2 linked regions of the Saccharomyces cerevisiae S288C genome follow. The protein of the gene in region 1 interacts with the protein of each later gene in a biochemical or structural test. Each region holds a gene or a part of one and is shown on either strand. Other genes may lie near its edges.

Evidence for each region.
Region 2: the proteins of ROY1 (region 1) and YPT52 form a complex in vitro, tested with the Saccharomyces cerevisiae proteins (one study listed by BioGRID).

Annotation. Positions count from the first base shown.
Region 1 is NC_001145.3:781,800-785,807, forward strand, and holds ROY1 (Roy1p), read right to left. Parts: upstream 2,483-4,008; coding exon 821-2,482; downstream 1-820. Other genes in the region: PET111 (Pet111p), read right to left, coding at 1-232; tRNA methylation protein TRM732, read right to left, coding at 2,822-4,008. UniProt on the Saccharomyces cerevisiae protein: Non-SCF-type F-box protein involved in the endocytic with the vacuolar sorting pathway. Acts as a repressor of YPT52 by inhibiting the formation of active, GTP-bound, YPT52. Involved in the defense mechanism against methylmercury toxicity.
Region 2 is NC_001143.9:464,845-468,014, forward strand, and holds YPT52 (Rab family GTPase YPT52), read right to left. Parts: upstream 1,228-3,170; coding exon 523-1,227; downstream 1-522. Other genes in the region: PRY2 (sterol-binding protein), read left to right, coding at 1-104; YKR015C (uncharacterized protein), read right to left, coding at 2,117-3,170. UniProt on the Saccharomyces cerevisiae protein: Required for transport in the endocytic pathway and for correct sorting of the vacuolar hydrolases suggesting a possible intersection of the endocytic with the vacuolar sorting pathway.

The sequences.
Region 1 (4,008 bases):
TAATGGAGTCCATCCAATCGAGTTTATTCCGAGACTCATACACACCGCTTATTGTTGAAGAATCTTTTAGTTGCGCTTTAACCCAATCCTCAATATCTTCCTTATGCTTTTTTTTGATCAACTCAGTTGAGTAATATCGTACTTTAAAGAAAACAGTGTGCATAACCTTGTTTGATTCTCTGTGAAGTAATCTCTTTATACCACTGGAGGATATAAATCTCCGTTGTAACATTAAGTTCTCGTAAGCAATTGTTTAAATTTAATAGGTAGTGATAAAAAATTTGACGATATCAAAGTTGTGGTGTAATTAATAGAATACATGAAAAGTTATGATCAACATAAAAATGCTCTATACCAGATAGAATTTTATAAAAAAGGAAGAGAATAAAACGATAATAAAAGGAAAGACAGGTTAAACGATTGGAATGGGGTCTTCAAGTTACAAATCTAGAGGAAAGTGTAGACCTAGTGCAGCAATTGTAAATTTTGAACCTTTCTGTGGGGGGAGGGGTTTCTCAAAGTATCAGATAGTATTATGCACGGTAAATAAAGCCTAACAACAAGAAGTCCAAACAATAAATAACAACCGTTTCTGATCCTTGGATCGTATACAGAAGCTTGTTCATTTCAGTTTTTTCATTGTCTCTTCCTTCGGTATGCCTACCTTTCTGAAATATATGGTTATTATTCGAAGAACTCGTAAGGTCCGGGTAATAATTATGAAATGCAATAGTAAAATATAATTATTACTCAACTGGCTGTATATATACGAACTCCTTCAACAAATGTACATAAGAAATGTTTATCACAACTATCAAGTTTAATCATAAATAGTTTCATAAGTGTGTAATTCTGGGCTCACGCTAAAGTATATTCCTGACAACATAGTTTGGCGAAGGTTTGGCAATATCTTTATCAAGTAGTTCATGTAAGGATAAAAAAAATGCGATATAATAGTGGCTAAGGGCTCAAATGAGGATTCGTCAAAATAACATTCATAACTTGCAAAGTGATGAATTCTCTCAAAGCCATGGAAATTCCACGTCGTATCCTCAGGGGCATACTGTAGTAAATCCAAATCCCAGTTCTTCTGAGGATCAAACCTCTTAGCTAGAGATTTTCCAGTATATGCTGCAAACACTATCGGTATAATATCCAAGTATCTTGCATCCGGGGTCGAAAAGTATTGATGATTCATGATGTACTTATCAAATAATGGTAAGTATTTGGAGCAGAACGCACATTTGCAGCCGTTCCACAAAAGGTCACACGCATACATTTCATATGAGGTGATGGACTGCAATACAGTTGGAGCTATTATTGTTTCCAACGAAGTTAGCTTTGGTAAAACCTTTTCATAAAGTTTTTTACGGCGAAGCAAGTTCCCATCAACAGTATCAATGCCCTTGCCATTTAAAGGTGGGTCATGTCGTATGCTTAACAAACGCAAATCTTTACTCACGTTTGGTAAATTTAAAATAAACTTATTAACGACCAAGTCCCATTTCTCGTCCATGTAATGGTACCCTTTTTTGGTGAATGTCTTTTCAATGAACCCCAGACTTGTTAAGGAAACAAGGTTTCCTGTTATATCTTGAAGAAAGTCATCATCACATTCACAGTCGTCCACCTCACAAGAAAATTCTAATTCAAGGGCTTTAAGATTGGATAAATTAACTACATCCTTAAACGCGCGTGAAGATAATCTCATAGAAGTAGCACTCCCATCACCTTGTTTGTGAACATGATTAAGCTTCAAACGGCGCAGATTCTTGAAGCGGAGGTTCAGGGAATCAAAGTATTCAAAGACCCTTAGGCTTGAGTACGCTTCGTCCTTTATTTCTAACTCTCCTCCATTAAGTTGCTTCATTAACATTACACCCACTTCAGGGATTATTACGTTTTGCAAATCCAACGATTCAGGTAATTGCCATTTTAAGCTTTTGAAGTTTTGCCATAATTTGATACCATCAAATCCAGTTTCGCCATATACTACTCTCTTCTTTAAACTTGACAGGCGATAATACTTTGCTGAACATAACTCAAACAAGGTAGGATCCTTGATGTCAAGACTTTCAATCACGTCCAAGTCAGTGATTTCATTGACCAATCTTTGTAACAGTTGCAATCCTTCTTCCCTGTTGTGAAACAAATCCTCGTCAATAGTCAGCTGTTTTATACATTTTAAATGCGATGTCTCCAACAACCTTTCAATTCTATCATATAAAAATATGTCATTCTTGTCACCGGTTTTCAGAACAGATCTATAACCACTTACATAAGTTTTTCCCCCGTCCAAAAACCATTTGTTTGTTCTTAAAACAGGATTCTTAGTTATGTGAATATTGCTATAAAGACGAGGGATTGCAATCATGTCATGCATTTTTTTGGATGTTAGACTTAGGCTTAATAAATCATTTTGATTAAGAAATAAGGAGGCATGCGAGAACACTATGAATATATCTTGATCTTGGAATGCCATTTGTCAGTATTACTTTTGTTATATCATGTGAGCACAACTGTCGTTTTCACAATAGTTCAAATTGACTAGAGAGTTAGTAAAGGGGTACAACTTGCTTTTGTAATAGGGCACACCTTTAATTTTCCATCCATGAACATTTTTCAACAAAAAAAGAGGTGGAAAAAATTCAAAAGAAAATGACAACGGTAAAGAAATTAAATCAAGTTCCATCATTGTATTTAGAATAGAAATCGACATGCTTTGTAATAGGTTCCACAATGAATCTCGTCACTAAATCCACAAGTAGGTTAGAGATGAATCAGATTATATGCAAAGTATATATCTGTACATATTCATTATTTATAATTGGGAATAACTGATAATTAGGGGATGAACAGAATGTTTAGTCAGAACATTGATAAAATTCTCATAATCAGAAGGAGAATAATGTTGAATCAGTTCCTTTAAAAGCGTTATTCTTGAAAATATTTCAGCATTAGAGCACCAGCCGAGTGGGGAATCTTTAAAATCCTCGGTGTTGAAGTGCTCCAATAGAGCACTTTTTAGGTGATGTATCTGGTCTTTGTAACACTTTGAGATATCCCTTCCAGTCAATTTTATCATATTTAATATATGCATTGCCTTTTGTAGTTCGTTGATGAACTGGTTATCCTTTTCTATAGTAAATAGACAATTCTTCGCCGATTCTTCGGCAGCAAACATATCATATTCATTTAGATATTGAAACAACTGTAAACACAACTCTTCTACCACCTCAGAACTTGTGAATACGTCAACAAACTTTTTTGTGAATATAAGAGCGGTCACACTGGTGTTCCTGTTATATTCCCAGTCTGCAGTTTGAATAAAGTTCTTATTCAAATAAAAAGAAGCCTTTTCTCTTATTTCAGAATCATCGTCCCATAAGAAGTTGTACAGTTGTAATAGTATTCTGGAGTTCTTACAACTTTCTGGATAAGCAGTTAAACATTCTAAAGATGCCAATCTAAAATCTTTTGAACAAGAATCGGCGAAAAATCCTTGTAACAAGTTCCATACCTGGTGAAAGGTTTGCGAAGACAATTTAGCACTTAGTGATGAAACGGCAGCAAGTTTTGTATCTTCACTATTATTTGTTTTTAGGAGATCAGTGCAGGTCGTCAGGGATAAAGTATTCTTTTTTCTTGAGAGAATTTTCACTACTAAAGCTTTAGCCATAGGCAGCAAATCTGGAACCCTGAGTAATAATTGTAGTTGTTCAAGAAATTCTGAGTTTCTTGTAGTTTCCCAGTGAAAGTTAGTATTCATGTACTGTAGTGTACTGAGCTGAGCCTCATAAAATGGAGAATACAATCCTAATAAGCAAATATCATCGAGATATATACTATCCTCATATTTTAAGAGCATGTCTAAGATTTGTGCAAGATATAGCTGTTTGCTACCATCCACAACATATTCGTTATTTTCAGCAATAAATGTGTTCCGCAAAGTGCTGATATAATCTTTTAAAATAGAATCAGGTATGTCGCATGTTTCCAATATACAGC
Region 2 (3,170 bases), on another chromosome or scaffold:
TGAAATCTTGCGGTGGCGAATGGGGCGATTACATCATTTGTTCCTACAAAGCCGCTGGTAATGTCATTGGTGAGTTTGCTGACAACGTTATGCCATTAGCTTAATCACTGAATTTAGCGAATACATGGGTATGGACATGAACAGCAATGGGCACTGTTCCTTCTCTTACATTTCTCTTTTATAGTTTCAATTTTTATTATACACTAAGGATTCTTCTTTTCTAGGGTACGCAAATTAAATGCAAGCAAGATCATATAACATTGTCATAGTCTCATGCATGGTAAATAGGGTGAACGAAAAAAATTGGGAGATCTTGCCGACGGCTACGTATATATATATATATATATAAATATATATATATATATTCATGTATACTGTATATGTACAATCATATATAAAGTTACTCTTCCCTTTTCTTTTTTTTTTTACATTATTACGTATATACTGCTTTATTATCGGAAAGTAGCAGTTTAATTAAAGCAACTTCTGTTGTTTTTCCTCTAAAACACAAATCATAGGATATCAACTGCAACAAGATGTTGGATCATTTGTGGATGGCCTTTGCAAATTAATGTCTACTTGTCCGTTATTGCCTCCACCGATTTGTCTATTTTGCTTAGAGAGAATTTCGTCTTTCTTTAAATCGTATAATTTTTCACCAATATCTTGAAAAATTTCCTTAACCCCTTCACCTGTCTTAGCACTAACTTCTCGGAACAGCAACCCTTGTTCTTGTGCGTACTGTTTCGCTTCTTCAGTGCTAATTGCTCTTACTTTTTGTTCTTCATCTCCACCTTCGTTTGAATCTGGGCTTGTCTCAGTGCTAGGCGTTTCTTGACATAAATCCACTTTGTTTCCCAGTAAATAAATAACCAAGTCGTCGTCGCCTACCTTATTTTTCAGCTCATCAACCCAGTTCCTTGCCTTTTGTAGTGAATCTTCCTGCGTAATGTCATAAACAACTAATGCTGCATTAGCGTTTCTATAATACATTGGTGCCAATGACTTGTATCTTTCTTGACCAGCAGTATCCCAGATTTCAAATTTTATAACGACATCCTTTGTTTCATTACCATCGTTTGGGTGAATAGTGATTGATTGAGATAAAAAAGCAGCACCAATCGTACTTTCACGTAGTTCATCGAATGTATCCTTAACAAAACGATGAACAATGGAAGATTTACCCACGGATGAGTCACCCAATAAAACTAGTTTAAATTGCAACATCTGTTAATAATATATACGTTTACTCCAAATAAGTTAAACCTTCTTCCTACCCTCGCACTATAAAAAAAAATTTAGATATGTCCAGAGCTCGATATCGAAGCGACTTAACAAATAATTAATACTGACAGTTGGTAAACGGGCCTGTTCCCTTCACTCCCGTATGTTAACATTGTAACTTCATATCGCAGGGGCAGAGCTTTATAAACCTGAATTGTCCGGCCAGAATAGTAGTCGCTGTCCACGAAAGCAAGACACTATGAAGTTGCCGTTTGGTCTCAATGATACACATAGTGTTAAGAACATTGAGTAATTTGGAGTCAGATTGATTTCATTCCTTTACAATCGTGATGTGCCTATTTAATTCAAGGTCATGTGGATTTCAAAATTTAACATAATGATTTTACCTACCTTTCACACATTTGAACATGGGAACGCTTAAATATTAATTACTGTGCTTCACTACAATTACAAGAGAGTACGTATTGACGTTATTACCAGTTTACTTTCCATCATACTTATCGCAGAAAACAAAATATCTAAAAAAAGTATAGTAAACGGTTGATGTCATCAAGAAGCATACCTTACTCCTTATATAGAAAGCTAAGAGACACCTAGAAACATTGATTTGCCAAAAATCCACATTCCTCGAAATGGGGCCTAAAATGTGCGCTAATGCGCTAATAAAGGTGATATAAAGTTCAAATCTTGAGTATACATATGACATACAACCATAAGGCCTGATTATTGTCTATTTACTGCAATTTTCATCTTCAGTTCCAATCCACGGTATAATGAAATGTAATGCATCCTATCTTATTTTTGAATGTATTATGTTAATCGTCACGTTTTGGTAATGATTTCTAGATGCGACTATAGCATTTTTGGCAAATCAAGCGTTTATTTTGACTTTTCTAAATTTGGCTTTAAAATCCCTAAATTTCACAGTTACGACATCCTTAAAGTGGATATCTGTTAAAATAGTTGACCCAAGTACTTCACTCTCCCCAGGCATTTTGTTGATGTTGTTACTGCTCGCATTGTATTTCATTATACATTTTCTCTTGTCCTTTGTTCGCTGATTCCTTTCTCCATGAGGTGATATGTTGAGTTTAATCTTAAGGTATTCTCTCACTAGACCGTGCGCTTCCTCTTTATGGCAATTTTTGCATGATTTACTATTTTTATTATTACTATTATCATTTTTACTGGCGGAAGATGCTATTTTGGTCCTAGGTCTAACTACCTGATTTTTTGTATGTCTCTCCGAGTGCTTACCAGGTTCTTCGACCTGATTTTCGTCCATAACCATCTGATCTTTACAATATTTTTTCTCAAATGTCTGAGCCTTCTCCAATCCTAGCATTTGTTGCTCCTTTCTCCAAACTCTAGCACATCTTTCACTCATGTAAATTGGATCAATATCTTTCATAGTGGTATTCCAAGATATGTTGTTTTGGTCATTATCTTGGGGTTCAGGTTGAAAGTACGCGTTTTCCATCGGTGTTCCTGCATTATCTTCACTTTCGCTTCTAGACTTTTGAGCTATTCCGTCGTTCGCAATTTTAGGTCTGTCGTTATTTTTCTCTTCATTGTCATCCTTTACTTTATCCACTTCTGTTACATAGCCTATTACCACAGCAGCGCAGTTATTAAAAGTATTGACAACCCTATTAGCGAGAGGTGTTTTTATGATATTTTTCAATCCTGATGACGCTTCAACTTCAATACTATCCATTTTTTTTCTCTCTATCATAATGTTCTCCTGTTCCTCACCTTGCATCCTCACCTTGGCTTCTTCTTCTCTCCGTTTTTTCCTTTCCTCGTGTTCCTTGTAAGGTCTCATGTCAACATAGAATTTTTCTGGTTCTAAAGTCCAAATAAGATTAGGAAGGTCTTTATCTTTAAGCTCTTTGATACTCAAGTTTTTTTTGTTCAAGTTCTGC